5 linked regions of the Danio rerio genome follow. The protein of the gene in region 1 interacts with the protein of each later gene in a pairwise test. Links are inferred from orthologs where the notes say so. Each region holds a gene or a part of one and is shown on either strand. Other genes may lie near its edges. The genes, in order: arrdc3a, nedd4l, bag3, wwp2 and stam2.

The links.
Region 2: the proteins of arrdc3a (region 1) and nedd4l interact in binary tests that used the Homo sapiens proteins (3 or more experiments, as listed by UniProt). The link is inferred for Danio rerio from reciprocal best matches to the Homo sapiens genes ARRDC3 and NEDD4L.
Region 3: the proteins of arrdc3a (region 1) and bag3 interact in binary tests that used the Homo sapiens proteins (3 or more experiments, as listed by UniProt). The two-hybrid records come from large-scale screens. The link is inferred for Danio rerio from reciprocal best matches to the Homo sapiens genes ARRDC3 and BAG3.
Region 4: the proteins of arrdc3a (region 1) and wwp2 interact in binary tests that used the Homo sapiens proteins (3 or more experiments, as listed by UniProt). The link is inferred for Danio rerio from reciprocal best matches to the Homo sapiens genes ARRDC3 and WWP2.
Region 5: the proteins of arrdc3a (region 1) and stam2 interact in binary tests that used the Homo sapiens proteins (3 or more experiments, as listed by UniProt). The two-hybrid records come from large-scale screens. The link is inferred for Danio rerio from reciprocal best matches to the Homo sapiens genes ARRDC3 and STAM2.

Annotation. Positions count from the first base shown.
Region 1 is NC_133180.1:53,057,829-53,064,253, forward strand, and holds the start of arrdc3a (arrestin domain-containing protein 3a), read right to left. Parts: upstream 4,066-6,425; 5' UTR 3,884-4,065; coding exon 3,604-3,883; intron 1,499-3,603; coding exon 1,417-1,498; intron 1,324-1,416; coding exon 1,176-1,323; intron 1,085-1,175; coding exon 982-1,084; intron 673-981; coding exon 416-672; intron 1-415. UniProt on the Homo sapiens protein: Adapter protein that plays a role in regulating cell-surface expression of adrenergic receptors and probably also other G protein-coupled receptors.
Region 2 is NC_133196.1:12,310,045-12,316,025, forward strand, and holds part of nedd4l (E3 ubiquitin-protein ligase NEDD4-like), read right to left. Parts: coding exon 5,912-5,981; intron 3,808-5,911; coding exon 3,622-3,807; intron 1-3,621. UniProt on the Homo sapiens protein: E3 ubiquitin-protein ligase that mediates the polyubiquitination of lysine and cysteine residues on target proteins and is thereby implicated in the regulation of various signaling pathways including autophagy, innate immunity or DNA repair.
Region 3 is NC_133188.1:28,713,350-28,718,911, forward strand, and holds the end of bag3 (BAG family molecular chaperone regulator 3), read left to right. Parts: intron 1-112; coding exon 113-400; intron 401-1,872; coding exon 1,873-2,526; 3' UTR 2,527-3,709; downstream 3,710-5,562. UniProt on the Homo sapiens protein: Co-chaperone and adapter protein that connects different classes of molecular chaperones including heat shock proteins 70 (HSP70s), e.g. HSPA1A/HSP70 or HSPA8/HSC70, and small heat shock proteins (sHSPs), e.g. HSPB8.
Region 4 is NC_133200.1:37,283,852-37,289,832, forward strand, and holds part of wwp2 (NEDD4-like E3 ubiquitin-protein ligase WWP2), read left to right. Parts: intron 1-173; coding exon 174-330; intron 331-1,063; coding exon 1,064-1,185; intron 1,186-4,481; coding exon 4,482-4,619; intron 4,620-5,981. UniProt on the Homo sapiens protein: E3 ubiquitin-protein ligase which accepts ubiquitin from an E2 ubiquitin-conjugating enzyme in the form of a thioester and then directly transfers the ubiquitin to targeted substrates.
Region 5 is NC_133184.1:39,754,098-39,760,508, reverse strand, and holds the start of stam2 (signal transducing adapter molecule 2), read right to left. Parts: upstream 4,408-6,411; 5' UTR 4,283-4,407; coding exon 4,243-4,282; intron 1,704-4,242; coding exon 1,619-1,703; intron 1-1,618. Other genes in the region: hacd2 (very-long-chain (3R)-3-hydroxyacyl-CoA dehydratase 2), read left to right, coding at 4,907-5,031.

The sequences.
Region 1 (6,425 bases):
ACAGCCTCTGCCAAAAGGCAAGAAACTAAATAATTTGTTTGCTTCTCAGCATTCTCAGTATATCAACGAATTGAGCAATAAACTGAAGCAGTAAACTCTAATATTCAGATATAAAAGTCAGCATCATTGGTCCTGACCATTACAGTAGTAAAGCGGTAACAGATTGGTTTGAAGGGTTAATAGGTCATTAGCACTCAATGACCTGAATTTCATTAGATATTCTAAGCTGATCTTCTTATCAGTATGTTCGGGTAGAACTTGGCATAATCTCATTATCATTCATAGTGCTTCATGTGTGGAGGAGCCCTTCGAGGAACCGATCTTTCAGCTGTTTGAAACTATGTTATAAAAAAAAAGATAGGGAATTGTACAAACTAAAATAAATACAACATTTTTAAAAAAGCACAAGGCTTACCATAAGTGAATACTCCACTCTTATGATACTGCAGTCCAGGATGGAGGGCGATACAGGAGGAATCTTCAGCATCTTTCCATTCCATGTCTCTGTCTTGCCAGAAGAAAGCGACTCTCCTCGGATGTTGGCCACCAATTGCTTGATTTCCTTCATCTTCCCTTTGGCAAAGAAGGTCTGTGTTTGGTAAATGGCGGCCTTTGGCACAACCATACGCGAGGAACAGTTTTCAATTTCAGCAAAGATCTGAATGGACTCTCCTGTGAGAAGACAAAATGTATTGTTATAGGTACCATAAATTATAAAGACTGTAATAAATCTGTAATATCCAACAAGCACTAAATGGCAATAAAATTAAAAACACAAATGTATATATATATTCAACTATGCCTTTTGGTCATTTTATACAACATAAAAATCAGAATAACAAAACTGTAACTTCAATTAATAGATTTTACAAACATTTCAATCTGTTAAATCGAAGAAAATATAAACAATTACCAAAATAAGTTTTTAGAAACCCTAGTATGATGCAAAATATTGAAAATGTAAACTATTAGGAGGCTTACCTGGAGTATAACCCTTTCGTTCAATTTTGGCACTTAGGGAAATTGGACCTGAGGTGCAAAACCAGCAGCATAAAGTCTTTTCTTTAGTTCCTGCCTGCGGAGACTGTGAAAGTAGAATAACAACACTTTAGAATACAAAATAATGGTTATTCTCCAATGCTGAGTAAAGGGATGTAAATGATGCAAACGCTCACCAGCAGAAGAGGAGTGTTGATGTCTATGTGTTCAAAGACAGTGAACTCTTTCTTTGTCTTCATGGGCAGAAGCCACGGCCTGTGCAACTCAGCCTTTACCCAGTAGCGCACACTGCCATGCTTCCCTTCGAATGAGGTAGCCAGAGGTCTGCATGTGCACGACACAAAGAAACATTTCATTAAGCATTACGACATACAGAACGGGTGAACAAATGTTAGGTCTGGTGCCACATCCACTCACGTTTGTGGAAGCTCAAAGCTGAATGCATACTCATGCCTTCCTGAATGAATAGTGGTGAGTCCCTCCTCGGAGTTATCATCATCTGAAACAGAAAAGAATAATATTCCAAATATACCTTACCTGCCAAAGCATTGATCATCTTCTTGTTTATTACACGATTGAATTTATTCAAAGAGCATACTTGTAAATCAAGAACATGTATAAACCAAGTTGTTTGATTCTCATAAACCCTCAACACCCATGAATTATGAACATGTATAATCATTGTGTCACATGTGTTTATTCTAAAAGGGAGATAAAAATACTCATAAGCGCTACGGCAGTTCATAAGAAGGTGAATGTGAAATAAAATAACCATTTAAAATCGAATATTTGTTTGTGTAACACTGAAAAACACCGGTGGCTTTCGTTTCGCCAGCTCAGCACTGTATTCAGCTTAGCAGAGGCACGGTAAACAAGTAGGGAGCTGTCAATCAAGGGCAGACTCGAGCAAGAGAAGACCGGCCTAAACCGGAGCCCGCTGCTTCACTGTGCCGGCGCGCTCATTACGTATTCAGTGTGCGGTAACGCGCGCGCGCGCACAGGACCAGCAGGGACAAGCCTCCCATTGAATGCACGCGTGTGCTGCGGCGTGGAGTATTTTTCTCCCATTCAGCAAAAACACGTGAGAAAAATATGACAGATTGAAAAAAAAAAATCTCACACCAGCAATCACAAACGACAGAAAAACGATCAGTTTCCAAAACAAATTCACCTTTATTGTAACCCAAACATTCATACAGAAGCAGTAAGTCACAATTAGACATTGTTTCGACATTATTAGACATTACTTCGATTCGAAATATACAGGAAGTTAATTTCTTTGAAATTACAGTAAGCATGCAACTAACAAAATCATAACATGCACTATCTGATTTGTATACAGAGTTTCAACAGGCAAACATTACAATGTTTCTCCATCTCAAGCTAAATATTATGGAAAACATGTACAATTTGTATTTACTAAAACCACGTTTGGCCCACTTGTTATTTCGTAATGTGAGTTGAAGTCCTGTTCGGTGCCAGCAGTACAATGTGGAACAAAGCGGTGGTTGCAAGTTGTGTGGCAACAAACGACAACTAAACTGTCTGGTGATTAATATCCATAAAGCATGTACAGATGCAAAAACTGGAATGCGAAGAGTCTCTTTGAGTTGTTGTCGTTTTTGCACGTTTGGAGTGACTCAAGGTGCCAGATCAAACATATAGAAACTAAGAATCAGTTATTATAACCAGGCCGTGAGTTCTATAAATGCCAATAAAACTTCCGACCTAATGAATATGCAAATAAGTATTTACAGACATACAACGTGAAGATATCGGACGTTCGTTTTAGATTTTATAATTGCACCGGCCAACTCCATGAATGAACAGTAATGCAGATATGTTGTCGGCCTTTTTCTGATGAACGTTTGACTGCATTTCAATTCAGCCCCATAATAAGTGTACGCTTGCTTACTACAGCTACTGGTGCAAAGTTGCTGCTGTTTTCCCCACTTTCCGCAAAAGCATGATGTCATAGAAGACACGTTGACGCCTCCACCAATCAGAGAAGAGAACGACTAGACACTGCATCAAAACAGGATTGAACCGCTTCTAACAATGGGTGGAAACTTAAGACATTAAACCGAATTATGTACCATTACGCCTTTGTACTGCATTTATTTTATAACATTGTTCTCCCAGAATCAACATACAGCGGTAGAGCACAGAATGCGAATATCGTTTTAATAAAACTGTAGTACAAGACGAGCAAACTGACCATTCATTCAAGCAGCTGACACCTGAGAGAATACTGATATGTTGTTTAGAGTACAAAAGAGATGCTGAACATCACGCATTTGGTAGATCTAAACGGAAAATGATCTTTGCCAGATGGTTCTTGTGAACGAATGCGTATGTCATATATTGGGTGTTTTTAATTTGACAAACAACTCAATCAAGTCCCGCAAATTAATGCATAATTACAGTGTGAAAAGAACTGAAATGTCTGCACACAATAGTGTCTACAGGTTCACCAGTCAACAAGTACTGTGCAGCATCCAAAGAAGCCTATGTCATGTCATTCTGGACCACTGAGCATCCCACCAGAACATTCATATCTGCTCTTTTTCTGAACAAATCTACATGTTTGATCGGCATGCTTACCTCTTTCATGGCCAATTAGGATGTCTCTATGATTGAGATATTCCACTTCTTCTGTGTAATTTTGAGTGTAGGCAGTGCTGGATCCAGCATTTCGTGATTCTGTCCAACGAACTTTCGCAAATCCTTTTGCGTTTATTTTAAGAGACTTCACGCGAATCTCTCCGGTGACTTCGATAATAACTCTTCCTGAGACGGAGTCCCCACTCGAGAAAACAGGGACATTGCTGTCATTAAGACAGTCGTAGCTTACAATGAAGCTTTTTACCTTTCCTAGCACCATGGTGGCAAGAAAAGATAATGTACAAAGTTCTTTAGACAAAACAAGAAAAAAAAGTCACACGGAAAAGTCTATGAAAATAATCTCTTATGAAAAAAGCAAGAGTTAACACTGGATAGTGTCATTGAGATGCGAGAGCTGAATAACAGCAAAGGATGCTGTTATCACGTCTCGGCGAAGGCTTGATGGTCTGCAATGAAAGACGGGGAGATTCTCCCCACCGGCTCACTTTAAGCGCTGCTCTTGTGAAAAACAAGTTAGTGCGCATGCGCGAAGCTGCAATCCGTCCCCCTTCTTCCGCTTTTTGTGCAGTTCTTTGACCGGGGACTCAGGACAAATAACAAGCGAACAGCTGAGCAGTGTATTAAAAGAATACGTGGAAGTCTAGACGTTATTCACAAGTTTTAGCTTTGCATTATTATTTTAACTTTTTGTATAAAGTGCCATGTGTTTGTTACATTTGTTACATGTATCAAAACTGAGCTCCGGTTACTCAATGGGGGAATAATACACAATGAACATTAAATACAAACCTTTGGCAATTTATTGCTATGATGACTCCAGTAATATATTTATCCATTGTTCCAATTTTTTTTCTTTATATAACTACTTATTGCACTTAAACGTAGCCTACTTGACCAAACAATTTATATATTTGACTCGATGTTAAATAAATACATAAACAAATAGAATAACTAAATAAAAATAATGCTAATGTAATTTGAACTGATTATTTATTTTATGAGAATGTATGTAAGATTATGAATACACTACATCAACTAACTTAATATTCTGCTCATTTTACAGATTTTTTCAGACTCTAAATGTCATGCTTAAAATAATATTTTATAACTTTCTGTAAGTATATGCATTTGTATGTTACAGTATGTACTTCCCTTTCAGTTTATACAGACGCAGATTCTGCATCTGCTGTGTACAGTACATGCTGGTACAGGTTGTACAAACCGATGCGCCACTCAGCGGCTACAGAAACTCCTGCGCCTGCTCGTTTTCTTTAGTAGCGTTTGTGTGTGAACGAGTTAAGGTGGATTGTGCTGCCCTCTGGAGTTTCAATAGTGGGACGTAATTCGAAAATTATTTCCACTCAGAAGTAATAGGTTTGTATGAAATAATTAACTCTTTGTGATATAATGCCAGATTACAGCGCACATATTACAAAGCATATGGTTTCTTGTGATGTTTGTGTAGATGCCCTCCACTAATATCTAATATAGTTAAATGTGAGCAAAAACGGCTCTAGAAAAAGTGTTCATTTTTTAAACGTTTATGTTTTGCCTATATAATAAATATCAAAACGTATCAATATCAAAAAAGAAAAAGAAAAACAGGTCAGCTATCAAATAAATCACTTGCTGTTAATATATTTATTATCTACTTCGATAATTAACAAAACACTTACATAAAATATAAGGGAACGTGCATATAATTGAAAAAGGATAGTATGCAGGTATTTTTAATGAAAAAAATATTTAGTAAAAAAAAAAGAATAAAAACGCTACAGTTTGACACAGAAAGGAGCATCTATCTATCTATCTATCTATCTATCTATCTATCTATCTATCTATCTATCTATCTATCTATCTATCTGTCTATCTGTCTATCTGTCTGTCTGTCTGTCTGTCTGTCTGTCTGTCTGTCTGTCTGTCTGTCTGTCTGTCTTTCTGTCTACTTTAAAACTATTAGAAAGCTATATTGAATGGTCAGGAGAGAGGAGTAAACTAGGGCTGGTCTGATTTGTCAGAAGGTCTATTGACATTCAGGAACTTTCTTTTGTGTGCAATCATTTCGGGGATGGTAATGTTTGCTTGAATTTGCATTTACCCAAAGCGAAATAGAAATGAAACCAGTCTTTTGTCGTTACACAGAGGTCTTTTGCCATATTCAGTTGGCAATCAAGTTAAATCATTTCTTTTAGATTTTACCTCAAGCAAAGCTCTCGCATCATTTAAAGATATTATGACTAATTTTAAGAAACCTGCGTTTATTGTATCTCTGTGGATGAGCATTTTCAACAATGTAATCATGACAGCTTCTTTATTTGTTCAGATGCTTTTGTGTTGGCCACTACCTCTGTGACTCCCATCCTAAAAAGTGTGCCGCATACATATGTTTAGCCAGAGGTCTGTTGCCATTACTTGGTGGGATATCTAGGCTGAGACTAACAGTAATATCTAAACCCCACTGTTACCAATTGCTGTAGATTATGCAGTAAATAACTTTAAAAGTGTTTTGCTGTAATAAAACAAGACAGTATTTTACTGTAAAACAAGATTTTGTATGAAATTTTGTAATGCAAAGAATAAATTACAAAGTTACTTTATGTACACATTACAGGTAGTAACTGTGACCTTGAATGGTAAATTACTGTTCAACAATTACTGTCCAATCTACTCTGATACTTTATGTTGCCATTTATAGAGAAGAGCATTTTTTTTAACGATGAAAACGATGACATTAAGGCAATAAAATACATACACAGGCTGCCTGTCTTATTCTTAACACAAAGGTGTTGCCCTTTTAAACC
Region 2 (5,981 bases), on another chromosome or scaffold:
GGGAATAAATTATTTAAAAAAATGTGCAATGCATTCAGATGTTTAAATTAATTTTCTTGACAATAGAATATTAAATATTTAATTTCAGAAGAGTTTATAAATCACTACTTAGATTTTAAAACATTTGTTATTCTGATCAATCATCATTTTCTAAGGAATAAAATGCCAACTTTATTTGGGGGGGGAGGGGGGGGGGCAGACCTTTTCAGACCTTGTCAGACCTTTTCAGAGTAGAACTAATATTAACAATTTACTCAAACCCACACCTAAAAAAAACCCAGAAAAAGACATTTTTTCATAGCGGTTTATAAAGATTCATATGCAAAGTTCAGCTGTGTCCAAAGCGGTCTGATTTGACTTAGCTAAGCTTTTGAATGGTATACAGGTAAACCAGCAAGTCATTTAAATCAACCATCATACAGTATACACGTGAATATCTATATACTGCACACGGTTTAATTTGCTTAATGTGGCAGCTGTCATGACTGCAAAATTTTAGCTTAGACCCGGCTAGGACACATAATAATTAGCATAATAATTAGGCATATAATAAAAATTAGAACGTTAACTAATAATCGATGTGAAATCCACAATTCATACAGTGCAGTGAATTTTAAAAACATTGTAAAAGAAGGCATAAAGTGAGAAATGTTTCCCAGCTGAGTGTGTGGAACCCCTGCGCTGCCTCCACAGTGACTCACTGACTGATTCAGAGCTGCACGTGTATGCGCGCACTTCAGAGTCAGCTTTTAGATTTGACAAAATGTACTCACCACCATTTCAATACGCTGAAGAGGAATAAAAACATGCCAATTTCCCACCTCAATCTTCTGAATAAGTCTAACATTTTCATTAGTCTAGAAACGTCCAGCTAATGTATTGTTCTTTTGAGGGGCAGAAAAAGTCTTAGTCAGCATCTGTTGTTGAGTCAAGGCCAGTGCTGTCTTAAAAAGCCTGAGTGTATAACTTCAGCTTTTATAACACAAGCTTTCAGCCAAATGACAGAAAGAACTCTGCGACCATAAAGCTACGATAGATTTTATGAGCTGCAAGTTGATTAAAAGCAGTTATGATGGACTTACTTGGGATTAAAAACTACATAACTACTACATTTTAAGATTGTCTTTGTTAAAAAATAATAATACAAATATTTCAAGATTAGATGTCTGTGTCAAACTAAGGGCATACTTTACGCAAGCACGAAAAATGACAGTGTTTATTTGTGCTCAATTTGTTTCTGCTTAACCCAAATCAAGATACACTACCTGGCAAAAGTTTTGTCACTTATCTAAGTTTTAGGAACAACAAATAATAACTTGACTTCTAGTTGATCATTTGGAATCAGACATGGCTTATATGAAAGGCAAAGGCCTTTAGATTACGCTGATGATCATGCCTTGATTTTTAATTATTTAATTAGGACAGTAAGGTCTGAGTTTGTTTATACAAAAGTCTTGTCACTTTAAAGAAATAATATACAGTATAGAATATAAAGTCATGCTGGATTGGAAAAGGAATGAATATTGTGTCTGACTCCCATGAGCTTGGAGGACTGCATCCACACATCTCTGTAATGACTCAAATCACTTATTAATAAAGTCATCTGGAATGGCGAAGAAAGCGTTCTTGCAGGACTCCCAGAGTTCATCAAGATTCTTTGGATTAATCTTCAATGCCTCCACCTTCGTCTGGTAACTGGGCTGGCCAATTGTGAAGGACCTGGGGCCTCACGTATCAACGCGTGCACAAAAACTTTTCGTACGCCCGATTTCACGCTCACGTTTGGATTAACTTACGATGAAATGGACGTGAGAATGTGCGTTGGTCCACGCCAACTTCATGTCTGGCGTACATGCGTTTCTTGTGTGTCATCTGCATTTCTAGCAGGTATATAAGGTTTCCATACCATGCAGCAATCGCCGGTTTTCCCTATCTAATCAGAGTGATCGACTGCACGCACGTTGCTATGAAGGCGCCATCTGAAGACGAATTTGCATACGTGAATCGGAAACATTTCCATTCAATAAATTTGCAAATAATATGTGATGCTCAAATGTGCTTAACATAATTCACACTTATTAATGATTCCTACTTGTCTTCCTCGAGATGAAGAGTAGGCAAAATCTGATATTTGATGGGGGAAAAAAGAAGAATGAGTTCATCAGACGCTGGATTCGAACCGAGTTCATGATCGAACGTGTCAAAACATGTTGCCATGCCCTTTACGAGCTACGCTACTCACGCTACTGATTGCAGCGCTCTTTAGTTCTGTTGTCTCTGTCAATCAAACGGTGATGGGCGGGAATCACTCAACTAGCTCATTCCAACGAGGTGTGCTAATTGCACTTAGCCTAAATAGACACTACAAATTTTTACATCTTTACAGCCAACCATTTCTTTTTTAATTCACTCACAGTGCGATGCTTAGACCCCAATGTGTTAACCGCGTCAGCTAAACTCTCCACCTCTATTTTTTTCATTTGCTATTAACGTAATTCCGGAGGACAAACTTGCAAATAACACCGTTTTTCTCTGGTCTACCTCCAAAAGGAGCACCTCCGATTCACATTCTGTTCAAAGTTTCTCTTTTTGCTTGCTTTTGCCATTGCTTTTTCGTTTGGTTTTGCCAAAGTAGAGTCATTACCATATTAATTAGGGGAGGAGGCAGGGAGGGGTTTTGCACTCGTGCACGTGCGCTCAGTTTCACATTAATTCGGATGTACAAAGAGAATATGTGTGGGATTCCAGTTACGCAGTGTTTCATGAATCTGATTTTTTACTGCGTACGCACATATACAGCTTTGTGTGTACGCAATGTTTTAGTATGCATTCAATGCAAGTCTTCATACATGAGGCCCCTGGACCTGCTTTGCCTTTGCTTTCAGGAGCTTTGATGTGAAGGCTGAGACGGAGTGCTATCTTGCTGAAAAAATGGCCCTCTCCTGTGGTTTGTATTGGGTCCACAAATTTAAGACTTTTAAAGACCCTTTTAAGACCATAAAGAATAAAATTTTAGACTTATACAAGATTAAGATTTTTTTCTAGTGGCCTAGTTTTATCATAAGAAATCGTGTAATTAGTTTTAAGAATTACATTTAGGGAATTTGCTGTAAAATATACGTCTAACTGCTGTTGTAAAATGTATCTCTTCAGTTTTATTGAAATGTATGTCATTTGGTGACTCCTAAAATGGAATGCATTTGATTAAACTATTAGAGTTATCATATTTTATCCATAACCTACAAAAAAGAAAAATAGCTAATAGTTACATAAATAAACAGGGTAACTATTTTCCATTGGATTGCAATCCCTGGGGTCATTACATTAGATTAAAGACACAGCAATAGGATGAGATGCAGCAAATTGATTTCATGGCACCAGGTTAAACTTTCAGACACCTTTAAAGCCCTCATGTAGATTAAAATAAATACAGGCAACAACTGAACATGGAGGATGGTCTCGTTCTCCAAAATTAAACGAAGAATAGATTTGGGGCTCTTGGTGTGTGAAGGTTTGTACATTTATAACCTGCCTTGTTTGACCCATATGCAGCAATGTTACGTTATAATGGAGGATTTAACAGATTGAAATGTTTCCTATAACCAAGCGGTTTTGTCTTACCACAGCAGAGCTGGGTCCCGGGATTTCTCCGTTGGTGTCTGGAGCGAGAGACAATCTAAGGCTGATCTCATCTGAGAAGTCTGGAGTGCTGGAGAGGGGCATTGCCAGAGAGGAGGGTCCCGACAGAGAATGGTTCAGACCATCTGTTAATAAAGTCGGATCTTCCTCTGATATGGGCTCCCATGACTGAAAAAGAGGGAATGTTGCTTGTATCATAAGAAATTGTTGTATTTAGTTTGTATTTGTTAGTTAGATAATATACAGTGCATTCAGAAGGTATACATAGTGCTTCACTTTTTCCACATTTTTTTATGTTACAGCCTTATTCCAAAATGGATTAAAATAATTTATTGCTTCAAAATTCTACACACAAAAGCCCATAATGACAATGTGAAAATTTATTAAAAATAAAAAAACATGAAAAAATCACATGAACATAAGTATTCACAGTTTTTGCCGTGAAGCTTTAAATTGAGCTCAGCTACATTCTGTTTCTACTGATCATTCTTGAGATGTTTCAGCACCTTTGTTGGAGTTCTTCTGTGGTAAATTCAGTTGATTGGACATGATTTGAAAAGGCATCTGTCTATATAAGGTCCCAGGGTTGATGGTGCATGTCAAAGCACAAACCAAGCATGAAGACAAAGGAATTGTCTGTAGACCTCCGAGACAAGATTGTCTCGAGGCACTTGGCTGGGGAAGGTTATAGAAAAAATTGTCTGCTGCTTTGAAACTTCCAATGAGCACAGTGGCCTCCATCATCCATAAGTGGAAGATGTTTGGAACCCACACGACTCTTCCTAGAGCTGACCAGCCATCTAAGCTGGGGGAGGTCAGGGAGGGGATTAAAAATCCGATGGTCACTCAATCTGAGCTCCAGCGGTCTTCTGTGAAGAGGAGAATCTTAAAAGAGGGACGACCATCTGTGCAGCAATCCACCAAACAGGCCTGTATGGTAGAGTGGCCAGACGGAAACCACTCCCTGCCTAGAATTTGCCAAAAGGCATCTGAAAGACTCTCAGACCATAAGAAACAACATTCTGTTGTCTGAGGAGAATAAAATTGAACTCTTTGGAGTGAATGCCAGACGTTTGGAGAAAACCAGGCACTGCTAATCACCAGGCTAATACCATACCTACAGTGAAGCATTGTGGTGGCAGCATTATGTTGTGGGAATATTATTCAGCAGCAGGAACTGGGAAACTAGTCAGGATAGAGGGAAAGATGAATGCAGCAGTGTACAGACACACCCCTGAATGAAAACCTGCTCCAGAGTGCTCTTGACTTCAGACTGGAGCAACGGTTCATCCTCCAGCAGGACAATGACCCAAAGCACACCGCCAAAATATCATTGGAGTGCCTTCACAACAACTCAGTAAATGTCCTTAAGTGGCCCAGCCAGAGCCCAGACCTAAATCTCATTGAACATCTCTGGAGAGATCTGAAAATGACTGTACACCGTCGGTTCTCATCCAACCTGATAGAGCTTGAGAGGTACTGCAAAGAGGAATGGGTAAAAAATCCCAAAGACAGATGTGCCAAGGTTGTGGGATCATATTCAAAAAGACTTGAGGCTGTAATTGCTGCCAAAGGTGCATCATCAAAGTATTGCACAAAGGCTGTGAATACTTCTGTACATGTGATTTTTCAGTTTTTTTTTTTTTTATATATATATTTTTTTTAATTGACATTTACATTTCATGTTGTCATTATGGGGTATTTTGTGTAGAATTATGAGGATATAAATTGATCCATTTTGGAATAAGGCTGTAACATAAAAAAATGTGGAAAAAGTGAAGCCCTATAAATACTTTCTAGATTCACTGTACTTAATAACATAAACAAACACTGAACACAAACAAATATTAATGAAAATTTTAATAAATTTAATGGAAGTTAATGAAAAAAGTTGTTTATATTTACTCACACTCCACTAATTTCACAGCATGAATTTGGATTTTAAAAATGCATTAGTAAATGTTGAATTATGATCAATAAATACTGTACACATATTGTTCATTATTAGTTGTAAATTATTACATTAACTAGTGAAACATTACTGTAAAGTGTGACCAAATATATATATATATATATATATATATATATATATATATATATATATATATATAAATATATATATATATATAAATATATATAAATATATATATATATATATATATATATATATATATATATATATATATATATATATATATATATATATATATATATATATTCTGCTTTATTTAATTATGATGATGTTATCTGGCTTCAGAGTTGAAATACTAACGTCGTCTATGTCCCTGATGTCCAGCTGCTCATTTTCCAGGTCTTCGCTAATGTGCCGTCGAGAGCGGAAA
Region 3 (5,562 bases), on another chromosome or scaffold:
GTTGTAAAAACTTTCTAATGTTTGTTTGTGACATTTATATAAATACAAGTGTTGTTAAGGTAAATTTTGACCAATTTAATGCAGACCCAAACTCTGTTTTTATTTACCAAAGGGATATCAACCACAAGGGACCCACCAACAAATCAGTGGCCTTCACCAGCAGCCCAGATCCAGCAATACAGGTCTCCGGGCAGGATACATCCCCATTCCGGTGATCCATGAGGGTGCCGGGGGGGTCTTGCCATCCCAGCTTAGCCAAAGTTCTCATCCCACTCGAGAAAAAATCTACCGTGAACAAGTGCCCATTCAGATTCAACAGAACCGTGCTGCCAGTCCCATCCAAGTCCCCTTAAGAGCCCAGTCGCCAGTCATGGCTCAGATCATGGGAGAGAGGCCTCAGGTATGTGTGTTATTTATCAAGAGGATATTTTACTGAAAGATGAAAAAAAAAAAACATAATCTAAAGAAAAGTGTAGCCATTGACATTGATAGAAGGAAAATTTTCATTTTAATGGCTACAGGTTTCTTCAAAATATCTCCTTTTGTGTTCAACAACAGAAAAAACCTTAAGCATGTTTGAACTAATGGAGGATGCATAAATAATGACATAATTTTCATTTTTGAATGAATTTTCTGTTCAAAAGTGCACTTAGCAATTTTTGAGAAATGCTTATGACACCAGTGTCTGACCGATACCCAAAACACACTTGCAGCCAATCTTCAGTAAGGGGTTTGTCTAGTAACACTAGTGGAGAATTCAAAAAGGGCATGCCATGACAATTTGTAACCTTTTGATTTAGTGGCTAATTTGTATGAATTTGTATGATCTCATTTGTTAGATTTATTATGGTTTGCTCATCCCCCAATGACGGTTGGGTTTAAGGGTGGGGTTGGATGCTATGCCTTCTTTTTAAAATCTTACGTTTACGTTTGACTGAACTCGTACAAATTTGTGCGAATTAGCCACTAAACTGACAAATAGTAAAATAGTTACATTTCCTTTTTTGATCAGGCTGGTTTGTTTTGGCGTATTATTTTTCAACATAGGCTCATTCTGAAAATGTAGCCCTATGTACGTTTCTGGAGATCGCGAATTATGTAGCCAGAGCTATATATGGCTGCATTTTATCTTTAAAACAAACGCTACTGACTACCTCCAAGTGGACAGCTTTCATGCTGTTGCTAGTTTGTCCGGTTAGCTCACCATGTACGCCAGCAGACTTGAGACGAAAAGAGGAGTTGACCACGATGAAAATAAACATGTAAACAATATGGTAAGAATGTGTAAAAAGTATGGTAAAATCTGAAAACGCAGTAAAAAATCTGGCGAGGTCTTTTCTTTTTCTTGATTGCTTTTTAAAATTGTTGATTGGGTTTAGGGATGTGGATGGGCAGGTCAGTGGGTGCTTTTAAAAATATTATTGGTTGGGTTTATGGAAAGAGGAGGGTGGGTCAGCTGATCGGTTAGTCACTCAGTCAATCAGACAGTCAAATAGTCAGTCAACAGCGGCCTCTGGTGGATTTACATAAAAACAACAGGAGCGAATTGCACTCACGAGGGAAATTTGAAATCTCAAAAAGTGCACACAGTGGCCTCTAGTGAATTCGCGAAAACAAAAACTGCAAAACATACGTAGCTCCTGGGATGTATTTGGCGGTCTCCAGGAATGTATATCGAGGTACATTTTCAGAATTAGCCTGGGTTGTTATTTTTGGTACTTTCAAATAATATTGTTTGGCATAAATTGCTTCTTGCACCTCTAATGTTCATTTATGTCATATTTATTGTTATTATTAATCAAGTAATCATAAATAAGTAAATAAAAGAGGTACATATAAATGAAACTAAAGAGAATATGTTTTCATTTCTAGATGCAGCAACATATTGGACACACAGCCATACCTTCAAAAATTGAACATCCAGTTGAAGAAATCATCAGAGTACCTACATTTGAGGTTCCCATTCAAAGAGTGAGTGAAGTTCCCCAGCAGATACATCATCAGCCAGTACAACAACAACAACAACCTACACAGCAGCCTCAGCCAAAAGCACAACCCTCCCCGCAGGTATCAGAAACATCCAATATTACCATACAAGTTCCTCCAGCACCAGAGCCCCAGGAAACAGCTGCTCCTCAAACGCCTCAAGAAGTCTCGTCCCCGCAACTCCAGCCTGAAGAGACTCTGGAACAAGATCTGAGCCACCCAGGACTGGTCAAAGTGCAGCAGATAGTGGAACGTGTGGAGAAGCTGGCACAGAATGTCAAGGGCTTCGATGGGAAGAAGAATGATAAAAGATACTTGGTACTGGAGGAGATGTTGACTAAAGAACTGCTAGCTCTGGACTCTGTAGATCCAGAAGGTCGTCCAGATGTGCGTCAGGCTCGGAGGGACGGCGTCCGCAGAGTTCAGAATATTCTAGACGAACTGGAGATGATCGGAGAGATGCAGGCTGGAAATGAGGCAAAAGGAGAGCAGAGTATGATTGACCAGTTGAACACAGAGAGAGTCAAGGAGTTTTCATAACTGCTCAAAGAAGGCACACATTTGAGAACACTAATATAATCCCCATTCTTCTTTTTACTTGTGCAATTATTATTAGTTGCATGCACAAATAATTGAATTTTTCTGTTGGAAATGATCTAACGTAAATTGTTTACTGAGTGCTGTTATGTGATGCTGCTGTTGTCAAATCTCACCATGCCAATGTCTTGTAGCAAAAGACATAATGGTGATCAGTTTTATTTAAGAAACATACCTGAAAATGAGGCCTTGAACCAGAAGAAAGTATTTTAACGGCCAAAAAGTATCTTTTGTACCATGTGGAATGAATGAAGAGTATTCCTTAAGAAAACATGTTGTTTTTGAAGTCGTGAGCCATCAGCGTGAAACGTTTTAATTCGATTTTTAGCATTACGTGGATTAAAATGAAGAAATCTACATGTTTTAATTAAGACTTTTGGTTTTGGACTATGGGATTATTTTGTTTCATACTTGTATAAACAATTAATGCCTTAGAATATAAACATTTTAACATCTTTAACATCAAAGAATAGGTCATTGTTGAGAGCAAGCTTTGCTGACGGAATTCCTTGTGATGGTTTGAACGCCTGTCAGTATTGTTATTTGTTGAATGAAAGGATACAAATAATGCTATATTTTTATTCTATTTTTCTGTGCCAAAAAGAACATTTCAACTAGTATGAATGTTCTGCTTAAAAATAGAGAATTTCAAAAAAAATAAGTATGATAAAATACTGATTGAATATACTGTATGGTCGCCTTTATGATTAAGGCTTTGTTTTTTAAGGCAGTCAGGGTCAGTGCAAAGTTGTGGACTCCTGTTTTGTCAACATTGTGACCTTGAGCAAGATAACTTAATCATAACTTGCTCTGAGGGAAACCAAAAGTGTACCAAAAATGACTTTGTATAATCTATTAGCTCAATTTAATTCAAAGCAGAGTGCTATATGTCTCACATAAAGCTTGTGAGGCTTTCTTTTTTTATCTCAATGACCTGTTACTGACTCAGATATCGTACTAATACTGCGAACAAAACTGGTTTCAAAGTCTGTTTTGTGAAATAGTATGCAATGTTCAGTGTTCACAGCTTGATTATTTGCAGTTTGTTCAAATGTCGACACGATATGGTCACATAAGCATGACTGCAAATAAAAAAAATTCAATTAAATAAAGCACTTTGCTAAAATGATGTTTCCAGGATTTTCATTTACAACCAAAGCTTCAAAGTTTTTAATAAGTATTTATTAGTGTAAAGTACTTGAAGAATTATAGTGTGGGATTATAGTATTATGCTGAATTTATTTAGTCTGAACTTTGATATAAAAAATGCATCAAGATAAAATTAATTGGGACTATGTTTTGAGAGAGAATAGTGGCTTGGTGCGCTGCAGAGAATACGTTCTAGTACAATTAGGGCTCGCCCTAGCCTGATACAATTTAAAGTATTTCATAGAATCCATTTCTCAAGAACCAGGCTATCTGAAAATTTTCCCAATATTGACGACAGATGTGACAGATGTCATGCACCAAAGTGTAATGTTCTTTATGTGCTCTCTGTTACAAAATTATTGGATTAATTGTTTTACAATTATGTCCCAGGCGTTGCTGGTAAATATAAACCCATCCTCTGATGTTGCCATTTTTGAGGTTCCAAAGATTTGGTCCCAGTTTAATTCTAAACAACTTGAAATTTTGGCCTTTACCTCACTATTCTACTACACTGGAAACCAAATAAGCCAAATGAGCCTCCAACTACATCCCAGTGGCTTGTAGATACCATGCATTTTCTAAAGTTGGAAAAGATTAGATGCTCTGGGTAAACTAATTTCTTTAAAAAGTGGCAATGTTTTAAAACTTATTTTAACTCTCCTAAGCTCTTGCCTTCCAATTTATAGATGCACTATCCTTCTTTATTAGTCGATTTATTTTATAGTAATAAATGCTTTTTTTTTAAACTATTATTACTTTATACTGTTTAGTTGTAAATATTTACTCTCAACATTGATAGTTGGTTGTAATTTTCTGTACACTTATTACTCTGGTTTCCGTTTTTCTTTTCCATTTTTATTATTATCATCATTATTTTTTCTTTTTTTAATATATTTTCTTTTCTTTTGAAAAAAAAGCAACAACAAAGATGTTTGTACTGATATATTGTTTGTTTTTTTCCACAAAAAATAAAAAATAAATAAATAAAAATTTGACCATAAAGTACATCAAGAATAATGAAGAATAATATAGTAAAATTCCTGGCCATTTTTAGCTCCAACTATTTTCTAATGAAGGCAGACACTGGTTGCAGTTTTTGAGTGGATACTCATTTTAAATGTAATTACTTAAATTTAACTATAAAGTATGTTTTATTCATTAATTAATTTTCTTTTCAGCTTAGTCCCTTTATTAATCTGGGGTCACCACAGCGCCACCACAACTTATCCAGGATATGTGTTACGCAGCGGATGCTCTTCCAGCTGCAACTCATCACTGAGAAACATCCATACACACTAAGGACAATTTAGCTTACCCATAACCTGCTAACTCCACACAGAAATGCCAACTGACCCATCAGAGGTTTGAACCAGCCATAATTTACCTTCTTGCTGTGAGGCGATCGGGCTACCCACAGCACCATTTTGTTGCCCCTAGTATGTTTTATGGATATGTGTAGTATAAAAATTACCATGTTGTTATTATTATCATGATTTATTATCAGCATCAACTGTGTTGATCACTGCCAGTTACAAATCCTGTACCATGGCCTCATAAAAAGCAAAGTGTCCATTGTATACTGTACAATACACTTTTCAAAGTATTGCAAGAAGTAGGTCACAGATACTGTTTTGTTCACTAGGAAAGTATCTGCAATTATACATTCAGCCCTTGATATTAGAAAGATCAAAGCTATGAAGGACAGTGATACAAGTTTTTCACCCCTACCCTAGATATTACAGAAACATGCCGAAAAGATTTTATGACTTACTAAAAAAAATTATTTCAATTCACTTAAAAGTTAATACAAAACAGTTAAAGTATGTTGAC
Region 4 (5,981 bases), on another chromosome or scaffold:
TTTGAAAATAACCGCACACCTCAGAATGCTCATTAGCCAATGAGAATCAAGCATTCAAAATCCCTGGAGTATATGTTATATTTAAGTCTTAAAACTTCGTGTTCCCTCAATGTTCTCTTTCTCACTGAAGTTGTTTTGATTGAAGTGTTCATCGTCTTCTCCTCATCTGCTAGTGTTGTCTGCGAAGCCTCAGTCTCCTAAACTGCCCAATCGTCACTCTCGCCTGAGTTCATTTGTGGAAGTGACCGCCGACGGCCTGAGCAGCGAGACCAAGAAAACGGGCAAACGCAGCGGACACCTCGAGCTGCAGTGGAATGAAGACCTCACACTGTAAGCCTTCACGCGTCACTTTTCATTGAAGAATATAATATTTAAGAAGTGCCATGAAAACTGATTAATTCATCATCATGATGATCATTTTAATAACTCATTTCTAATAATGGATTTATTTTATCTTTGCCATGATGAGAGTAATTAATATTTGACTAGATATTTTTCAAGACACTTCTATACAGCTTAAAGTGACATTTAAAGGCTTAACTAGGTTAATTAGGGTAACTAGGCGAGTTTGGGTAATTTGGAAAATTATTGTATAACGATGGTTTGTTCTGTAGACTATCACGAAAAAAATTAGCTTAAAAGGGCTAATTTTGTTCCTAAAATGGTGTTTAAAAAAAATTAAAACTGGATTTATTCTAGCCGAAATAAAACATAAGACTTTCTCCAGAAGAAAAAATATTATTAGACATACTGTGAAAATTTCCTTGCTCTGTTAAACAACATTCAGGAAAATATTTTAAAAAAGAAGAGAAAAATTTGAAGGGGGTGAATAGTACTGACTTCAACTATATTATAAAAACTCTCCCTTTACCATTTAACTTGCTCAGGTTACTAGCGCATCCTCGTCTTAATTGACCAACTTAGTCCTTATACGTAACTTACGTGTGTGTGTGTGTATATATATTTTTTTCCTAACGTGTGTGTGTGTGTGTGTGTGTGTGTGTGTGTGTGTGTGTGTGTGTGTGTGTGTGTGTGTGTGTGTGTGTGTGTGTGTGTGGTGCAGGAACGTGACTCCTCAGAGTCGTCTGGATCTGAAGGTGTGGAGTTGTCACACTTTGAGGAAGGAGCTTCTGGGCAGCGCCACCATCGACTTGTTGGACACTCTACGAACACATGATGGCAAGAGTGAGTTTAAACCCACACAAACACACACGGATACTCACTCTCACATGCACTGACACACGCTTGCACACTAACTCTCACAGACAAGCACAGATGCAGAGATCTGTTTGTTGGTTTAGAGCAGGGGTCACCAATCCTGGTCCTGGAGGGCCGGTGTCCCTGCAGGGTTTTGCTCCAACTTGCCTCAACACACCTGCCTGGGTGTTTCAAGTATACCAAGTAAGAGCTTGATTAGCTCGTTCAGGTGTGTTTGATTAGGGTTGGAGCAAAAATCTGCAGGACACCGGCCCTCCAGGAACAAGTTTGGTGACCACTGTTTTAGAGAAATAATGACAGATTATGGCAGAGTTTACGCTGCAGGGTTTAAGTGACTTAATTCAGATTTTTTTTTTTCTGCATGTGGCACAGATCGGATATGAGAGCGAGAGCACTATCCACCACATAACCAATGTAAACTGATAAAACTATTGCATGCATCACGTGCACATATTACGCCATGGACATGACATTAAGATGCCTACTCGTTTAAAAAGGCCTAGATTAAAAGAAGATGGCCAAATCTTTTCTGTCAAACTATTGGAAAGCAACTTGTCAAAAATAATAATAAATAAATGAAACTCTGCAAACAGATTAAATAAAAGAATAGAGAAAAGAGCGCTTTTTCATTATCAGCTGTCAGTCAGCGTCCGAATTTTTTTTAATTATTTTTTTTTTTGCGCAGTGTAAATGCAGAGAACCGTTCAGGAGTCACTTCTAAAAGATGATGTGAGCAGAAATGAAAAAAAAATCACATACAGTCACAATCGTATTGACCATCAAGATCTGCAGTGTAAGTGCAGCCAATGTAATGAGTGAACCTTTTTTTTTTTTTTTTTTTTTTCCCCACTTGATTTAAAGGCCTCTCGAGGTGCGTGAGGAGCAACTTCACTAATATCTGAGAACACTGACCCTGATGCTCTTTATTAAATAGATTGATTTGTTTTAAGTTCTGGGAATAACGGTCTGTTGTGCAGGTTTGGTGTGTAATTAATACTGGAGTGTTCTGATATGATCCGGAAGGGTTTAGCAGATCACTCCGCGCGGTTAGGCCCAGAGTTTTTTTGGGGGTAAAGTGGGTAAAGATGTTTCTGAGTCAGTTTTGTGCTTGCAGAAAAGCAGAGAAATGCTGCGTGATGGCGTTTTTAAGACTGTCAGCCTTATTTCCTTAGTTTGGGCTTTTTCTGTTTATTGGCTTATTTATTTTATTTGTTTTGTTTGGTGTGTTTTGGTCAAAGAAAAGAAATCACCACTTTAATGTTTGCAAACTTTTATAGCTATAAAACCAACAATCCATCTATAAAAACACTGTTAACAAAAGTAATATTGTTAGTATTGTTCAGTTCAATTCAGCTTTATTTGTATATTGCTTTTACAATGTAGATTGTGTCAAAGCAGCTTCACATAAATGGTCATAGTAACTGGATCAGGGTAGTTCAGTTTTTAGTGTTTAAGTTCAGTTTTAAGTTCAGGTTAGCTCAGTTCAGTGTGGTTTGAAATCATTACTGAGTCCATACACTGAAGGGTAAATTCATTGAGTAGCTTTTCAGATCCTGAACCATGCAAGCCAGTGGCGACAGCGACTTATCATCCTTACAATAACATTTGTTTCAAAGTTCTCCCTGTATTTATGCATTTATGTTTGTTGTGAATAAATTTTAGTTTATACTTTTTAAAACTTATGGTAATAAAAAAAAAAAAAACCACACACACACACACACACACACACACATCCAAGAGCAAACATTCCCAATAAATTCCAAAAAGTATTACTTTTTTTGGTCGTTTAGTTTTTTGAAACAAGTAGTAACACATATTTAATATTTTGAGAGATTTACAGTAAGAATAGTGATTTGAAATACTGAGAATAAAGCACTATAATAAGTTCTACGAATATTTCAACAATGCTCTGATTAAAATAAAGCATTATTTTGGAATTTTCTCTCAGCTTCAAAATGTCCTTTTTTTTTTTTTTTTTTTTAAATAGTTTTTGAAACTAAAACATATATATTTATTATACATTTTATATATAAAACTATGTTTTGACACTATTTAAAATGTGGCTTAAATTTCAATTTTTTTAATAGGGCATGTAAATTATCCACTGCCCATTACAAAGAAAAATGTTAAAGTTTTGTTCTGCAAGTCTTAAAAGGTCTTAAAGTCTTTGTGAAACCTGCAGAAAGCCTGATATAGAAAGCACTTTGAATTAATGCGTGGCTTTTTTTTTTAAGGTTTCAAATGGGTTATGTGATTTTTTTTAAATGTCAAAATATCCAGGAAATGATATTCCAGCTGTACACTTATTTCTGTTCTGATGAAAGCTCATACTTTTCTCTGACGTGTTCCTACTGAAATGTATTTAAAGTTTGATCATATTTGAAATCATGAAAAGCTTCATCAAATGGGTCCACAAATAAAAAATCTTTAATCTTTTATAATGTTCAGCAAATTGAGTTTTGCTATGAAAAATGTTTTTGTTGCTAAAGCACCTGTGATGTTAACATTAAAATAGAACCTGTGAAAACAAATGACAAATCAGAGACTAAAAACAAAAACGAAACAACAGTATATTTAACAGTCAAGATTTAAGCTTTCCTTTATTGCAAATTAGGATTCAGTGTGTGTATGCACGAGCGTGCATGAGTGCGTGTGTGCATTCATGTGCGTGCATTGGAGTGTTTGTGCACTTGTTCATTGCGTTCGTGTGTGCAAGTGCTTGTTCGTGCGTGTGCATGTCTTCATGCATGTACATTCGTGTGTGTGCGTGTTCGTGCATGTTTGGGTGTGCATTTGCGCAAGTGTGTGTTTGTGCACGCATGCATACGTGCATGTTTGTACATGTTTATGCATGGGCGTGCATGTGTGAGCGTATGCGTTTGTGCATGTTAGTGTGTGTGTGCGCATTGATGTTTGAGTGAGCACAAGCGTATGAGCATTTACGTGTGTGCGTACATGCATTTGCATGTGTGCGCATGTGCATACATGTTCATGTATGCGTGCGTGTGCATACATGTTCAAGCGAGTGTGTGTGCATGCATGTGTTTATAAGCACATCACTAATGTTTTTATTGGTCTACCTTTTTTTTTTTTTAATGACAGGCATCAATGTATTGTTCTGCTAGTGCTAAACAATTAGTTTCATCGCCTAATTCACATAATACCCCCCCTCTCTTCTCTCTCTCTCTCTCTCTCTCTCTCTCTCTCTCTCTCTCTCTCTCTCTCTCTCTCTCTCTCTCTCTCTCTCTCTCTCTCTCTCTCAGTGGAGAACGTTCAGCTCAGTCTGGTTCTGCAGACGGAGAACAAAGGCTCGGTTGTAGCAGGCGGTGAGCTCAACGTCTGTCTGGACGGCCTGGTTGTTGATCTGGGATCTTTGCCCAATGGCAGCGCCGCCTCAGACAGTGAGTCCCCTTCACTGGCACACACACATGCACACTTCATAGGGAACACTGCTAGAACACACAGAACAAACGCATGAACAAGCGCACATTGATGAGGCTGTGCTGGACAGAGCGGGTTTGAGCCTCACAGAGAGCTTTTCTCCTGTGTGTGTGTGTGTGTTCAGATTTTCTCCTGCAGGTCACAGGGTTTATTGACAACCACAAACTCAATCTGTTCACACACTCGCTCGGGGTGGAGAGGAAGTCGTTCTCTTACTTTCTTACTGGAGGAGAAAAAGACACCGTTTACTTTACAGTCCAAAAAGTGTGGTGGAGTTATGATTAAAACAAAAGTGTGTTTGAAAGTTTAAAATAGTGCTTATTTTAAAATGTTGTTCCTGTACAAAGCTGCCTTATATTTTAATAATTGTTTTAGTTATGACTTAAGACCATTTCAAATGGATTACCTTTAAACCTTTAAATTTTTTTTTTAACCGATTTAAAATGATTTTGGTTTAAAAACCTTGAAATATGGTGATGTCAGGGTACACAAAGTATTTTAGCTGCTTGGTTAAACCACTTGTTTAAAATGAGCTCAAACACAATTATTGAGTTTTTAGAGTCAACTTGTTTTTGTTAAACTTAAAATTTAAAAAAAACATTAAGTTAATTTGATCAATTTGCATTGAGACAAGATTGAACCCAAGGAATTGTTGAACCCAATGTATTACAGCAAAGAAAGAAAGAGAACGAAAGAAATTAAGGTATGATTTGGAGTCCAAAAAGTGTGGGATAATTATGGTTAAAGTGTTTAAAAGAGGTCTTGTAGAGCATAAGCAGTGATTTATTTTAAAATGTTGTTCCTGTATAAAGGAGCTGTCACTATATTAATTTTTTTTTATGTAGTGACCAAACATTTGTAATTGTAATTATATTTCACAATAGTAAGTCTTTACTGTACATTTAAACAGGTTTTAAAACTTAAAACTATTTAAAACATTTTCAAACACAAACCAATAAATTTTAAACCTTTTAAAACAGTTCAAATTTACAACCTTTTCTGTTAAAAAATCTAACTTAAAACCATAAATTAAAGACACATTTTATAAGCACTATAAAATTAAAACCCTTTCCTACTTGAAGTTTCAAATTAAAATCCATTGCAAATTTCAAATCTTTAAGTAAACATTTTTAAACAAACTTAAATGTTAAAAGTCTATTTAAACAGTGTCTTTTAGACCAGTCAAGGTTAATAAGTCTTTAAAAATGTCATTTAAGTAATCATTTCTCGAGCTGGGATTTGAACTCAGGATGCCCTGATGTGCTACTGTACAATATGTCGGCATGCTAATCTCTAGGCTATTGCACCGACTATTTGTCCAC
Region 5 (6,411 bases), on another chromosome or scaffold:
TCGCGGTCGCTCATACACTGCGTATTACGGTAGAGCCCTAAACCGCAAGCTGACAGGTAAAAAGAAGAGGCCATTCGCTAAAGTAAAACTGCTGTCATGGAAAATTAAATGCATGTTCCTGACTGGTAGAAGATAAACAAACAATCCTACCAAAAACTTGCAAAATCAGCCGGATCAGAACTCTGCATCTCGACCTGTAGCCGCAGGAAAGGGTGTTCAGTTCTGCTGGACGCACCATGAGTGAGAGACTGCGCTAAAGACAGTGGATTTAATAATGTTCCTCCACAAACACACGTAGCCTAATCTTGGTGCGTAAAGGGTTTTTAAATTATAAATAAATATTAATTAAACCATATAATCATAATGTAGACAGAGTATACAGACTAATGGTGGCATTATTATTTTAATATTCAGCTTCACCGCCGCCTTAATGCCAGATTGTGAAGAGAAGTGGAGAAACACATCTTGCAGAGCCTTTATCTTAATTTCGTTATTGCCAAAATACCCGTCACCATTTAGAGTTTATTTTAATTTGATTTGTTAAGCAAGATTACTTTTCATTGGTGTGTAGGCTAATTTAAAGGCTAAGTGCATGTAGCCTACCTAGACCTATAGAGTGCTGAGATGTTACGATGTTACAGCTGTAGGACTTATTTTATTTCTTTGTTCCAACTTTCAAGTGGCCTATAGTCTACGCTTGTTACGAATAAATGATGTTAAAACATATAAATGACTCATTCTTGAAAAAAATGCATTAGAGCTGTGTGCATGAGCACATTTAATGTAGGCTGTGAACGGGTTTGGGCTGTATAAAGCTGTCAATCAAAATGTACCTGTCGGACTCGGGACCTATCGGGTATAACTGCTGTTCCGCGGGAGCCGGCCAGATTTCTTACGGGAGTAAATTTCTGAATAAATCGCGGGAGAGATGTGTGTGTGTGTGTGTGTGTGTAAAAGGGAGAGAGAGAGAGAGGGAGAGAGAGAGGTGCTGTGCGTCGCTTTGCGTCTCTCTCTCTCTCTCTCTCTCTCTCTCTCTCTCTCTCTCTCTCTCTCTCTCTCCGCGAGCCTAAGGTCGCATAGAATGTATTCAGTTTCTGAATGGTTTAGGCTTAAGCCAACAGTTTGGTGACGCTGTCTGAGCCTTACGTCATAATTTTTTTTTATTACGCCGGATACCGGGGTAAAATATGGAGGCGGTTTGACGGTATCAAAATTTGGATACCGCCCAAGCCTAGCCGATACCCAATCCAGCAAAAATATGCAAGTGGTGCTCGCTGCAGAGCCATTTGAGGAGAGCTGAGCTCCAGCGAGGGGGAGCTTAAGCTTGAGCTCCACCTTTTTTGCACTTCTTCTGCGAGTGATGTCACTGGGGGTAGGGTTAGGGGTGGGGTTGGTGTACGCATTAAAACAGCTTACAGGAGGAGGAGCGACAGCTCATGCTCCCCCTCGCTGGAGCTCAGCTCTCCTCAAATGGCTCTTTATCGAACCGATATCTGATCCAAATATCAGGATCGGTGCATCCCTATATACTAGTGACATTAAGGTAACTACCTGGTAATAAAATTAGAATTTAGAAAAACTATTCATATATTGTTTGCGTGTTGATTTTTCAGCTCACCCATTTGGAGCTGTCCCGACACGGTCACAGATATCCATAATGAGGCCCCAGTCCTCCACTGTGTTGGTTTCACTAGTTGCTTTCTCTGAAAATACAAATGAGCATTCAAATGAGACTCTTAACGCAAGGTCATTCTAGAACCATATCAAAAAAACTGATAAGTGTTTGACAAACGTCTAAACCAGCAGGAGGAAATGTCTTCTCATTTACCATAAATGCTGTTAACAAAACACTAAAAAACTAAAACTAATAAAAACCACAATTTTAAAAAGAAAATCTTTTAGTTTTAGTTATCAGTTTTGCATCCCTGAGTTCGAAGGATAGGTTTATTGAAAATAAGATATGCATACCGTTAAGCAGTGACAGCCTGTTTTGCCTGTTATTTTACATTTACAGCTTGTCACAACAGGCACAACAGTTTCTGTCATAATCCACCAGCAGAAATTATTTGCCCCCTCCTTTAAGAACAAAGCAACTGGGCACATTTTTATGACTAATTCTTACTCGTAACAACGACGTCTTGAATTGCAACATCTAGAAAAGTACATATTCATGAATAAATAAATAAAATGAACAATAATAATATGCCTTAATTTCCTCCATAAAGGAACATACAGTTTCACACGTTTATATAAACTGAATTCTAAAAGGACAAAGCTTTGAAAATAAAACCAAAGATCATGCTATTGTGTGCTGTTAGGTTCCACGCCTTTTGACAACTGAGCTCCTATTAATCTTCCACCCATTCATGCTTACAAGAAATAAAAAATATAAATAAATCAAATAAAACATAAAATAAAACGTTTTTTTTTTTAAATCAGAAACTTTTAAAACAGGACATTTTGATCATAAGTATCAGCATAGTAATACATTATTATTTGTTATAATTACATTGTTTTAATTACAGTTATTTGTTATTATTTTATACTAAATTATATGAAACAATATTTTAATATAACATACAGAATAAATACCTGAATCTTAAGCTTACTAGAAATTAAAAATAAATATAAATAAATAAAATAAAACATAAAATAAAAACGTTTTTTAATTAAAAATGAACGTTTTGATCTTAAAATCAGCATGAATTATTATTAAAAATACACAATTATGTTTTATTATATTATTTTTAACTAGATTAATTTATTATTTTACACTAAATAATAATAAATAATATTATCGTAAACATCCAGAATAATAAAATCAAAGCATATAAAGAAAGTATTATTACAACTATTATTATTATTAAATTATTAAATATTAATAAATTATTATTATTAAATTATTATTACTTTTTTATATGACTTATTGGAGCATTAAAGAATTTTCATATTTCGTACTGAAGACCCTGCCACAAAAATATATATTTAAAAAATATTTTTGTCAGTAATCAAGCAATAAAATAAATTTAAAAACAATTTCAATATAATTTGAATCAAGGAGACATCCAAAAACAAAAAAACTTATGGTTTTGGTGTAGTTGTTTAAGGTTCCCTGTTTGGGCTTTTACTAACTTTACTTCATTGCCGTAGACTTCTATCAGTATGTTTTCGAATATCTTAATCTATTTGTTTATTACTATTCTTTTAATTATTTACTTTGAGCTGGCCTAATAGTAATAATAATTATAATATAATATATATATATATATATATATATATATATATATATATATATATATATATATATATATATATATATATACGTGTGTGTGTGTGTGTGTGTGTGTGTGTGTGTATTAAAATAAGCTTCTCCTGCTCACTAAGGCTGCCTTTATTTTTTGCCTTTATTACAGGACAAACTGTACAATTGTAAAATGGTATTGCACTATAAAATAACTGTTCAAAAGTACTTTATAATTTAATTTATTCATTAATTCCAGTGATTTTAAAGATGCTTTTTCAGCTTCATTACTTCAGAGTCACATGAGAAATCTCTCTAATATTAATTATTATGATTATTATTTTTTTATAATTAATGAAAAAAGTAATAAAAGCATTAATGAACGGAGTAATAATTTCATTTGAAACTACATACAATATTAACTAAAAAAATGAAGAATTTAATAAAAACTGACCTCAAACACTTGACCGGTACATATATATATGTGTGTGTGTGTGTGTGTATATATTTATAATTATCATTTGTTTTAGTATGTCTTTGTCGTTTATTCTTCAGTTTTTTATTCTTATTGTCACTATTATTGTTGTTGCCCTTATTACAAATATTAATATTATTCAAAAACCTGTATTCCTATATTTTGATTATTAAATGTATTTTCTTATGCACACTGCTATGCTGTCATCTACGTCATGTTTATTGTGTTGACATAATTCAAAATAAAAGAAATTTTGATGGAAAAAAGAATAATTTCAGCATTTAGTGTTCATCTAAAAAGTTCTTGAAATTCAAAACAACATCCCAAAGACACTGTCAGTTATCTATTTTACATTTGACAGCTTTAATAGTTAGATTTTGATAAATAAGTTATGAATGACCGATAAACAAAACAATAACAGAGCTCTTGAGGATCTTGCAGTGAACGGAGCGCTGCTGGATCGGCCCTTAGTTACTGACTTGTCAAGACCACATCACTTCGACAAAAACAACACTGCCAAACTCACCCACATCCTGATCGAACGGGTTTTGACCAAACAACGGCATTTTGTAACCTTTTCCTATGTGTCAAAGAAAAAAACTGAAGCGTATTATCTACGTAGATCGACGATTTATCCTTCTCTCATCCATTAAATTGCGTTCACTTCCACCAGTTGCTCTTCCGTAAACTTAGTAGACGAGCGCAATGCCTGCCAGAAAATACATCCAGGAAACTGTCAACATATTCTACATTTAAAGCAGCATGTTCACAAATTATATTAATACTCAAAATTTAACCAGTAAATTATTATACTTGTGCATATTTAAAAATATATATGTTTATATTTCAGACAGGCGCATAGGTTGAGTCAGAAGTGCGCTCTGACTTCAAGACTCGCACTGCCATCTAGCGGCTAGTTTAGATGTTTCTAGAACATCATAATTCACTTTAAATAATCTCAATATATTCACATACATTACTGTAATCATATTATTTTAGTTGTATTTGATGTAAATGCTTGCGAAAAAGACGACGCTAGTCTGTAACTGAAAAAACAAAGCATTGTTTACACTCTGTCCTCACCAGAGGGCGCTGGATTCATAAGCAGCTTTTTTACATGTCAGCAAGGCCACACGCCTTTATCCACCGGGACCATTGGATGATCCAGTCTTTCTAATGATAGTTCAGTCATGTCGGCACCTGCCATGGGGACCAGCAAAACAGCGCACAGTGAGTCCGGTCACAAGAAGAAAAAGGGCCCCGGAACACTGGCCACAGCATATCTGGTCATTTACAACGTGATTATGACAGCAGGGTATGGTGGAAATCAAATGCGCTTCCGTGCTTCTCTCTTCAAGCGTGTGTGTGTGTGTGTGTGTGTGTGACAGCAGAAATGAATGGTTGGATTTCTTCAGCCTGTATGACAGAATCGCGGTCACCTCCCCCATTGAGTCTATATTGTATTATTTAACACTGTTTAATTTGAAAGCTGAAACATTTCAACAAAGTTATTCTGCACATGTCTGCTGTGCAATCCAAATGCGGTGTAACGTAAAGCCTATTATCGCTTATTTAACTCGCCGTAGGGTTGGTGATGGGTGACAGCGAGCATTGGTTGTTGTTGCATGAATGCATTGTTCTTGTTTTACAGTCGCTGGTTTGTTTGGGCAGCGTTGTAACAGGGCTTGTAGTGAATTTAGTGTCTTTGTTAGTTTGAATGTAGCCTTGTATAGTTTGTAGACATTAGACTAGGCAGTGAATTAAGCGCACCTTAGACCTAGTAACCCAGAAACTGTTGCACAATAATGTCCGTTTCAGGAACTAATCGATTCGATTCGAGACAGCCGATTCGTTTCTAAATCACTCATCGTTGTTTTTTACATGAGCATATGTAATGTAAAGCTTATTTAGCAAATTCATGGCGAATGTGAAGCATTGGATATACTTTGTGACTATACTTTGCCTTAAATAAAAAAAAAAAAATAATGGATTTCTATTAATAAAATTATCCAAATCATTTGTTAAAATCACTTCTTTTAGTTTTTATTTGACCAGATTCTGTTGCATTATAATGATTTTATACAGCCGATTTATTTCTAAATCACTCATGTTTCTTTGACATGAGCATAATGTAAATATTGATAAACCTTACATTTTGAGCACTTTTATTGCGAATGTGAAGCATAAAACCTACTTCCTGAGTATGTTTTGCCTTAAATAAATCGAAAAAACATAATTAATTTTAATAAAATTATCCAAATTATTTATTAAAATCACTTTTTTTTTTTTTTTAGTTTTTTTTAGTTTTTTTTTGACCAGAAACTGTTGCATAATAATGTCCAATTCGGCAACTTTTCAATTCAATACAGTCGATTTGTTTCTAAATCCCTTATCTGGTTTTTTGACATGAGCATAATGTAAATGTTGATAAATCTTACATATTGAGCACATTTATGTTGAATGTGAAGCATAAAACATACTTCCTGAGTATACTTTGCCTTAAAATAATCAATACATCTGGATTTCTATTAAAGAAAGTATCAAAACAATTAGTTAAAATCACTTCTTTTAGTTTTAATTTTTCGTCAGTGTTCTAGAGAAAAATTCTTATACAATGGAACTGTATAACTGTATATTAAAGGATTATATATATATATATATATATATATATATATATATATATATATATATATAT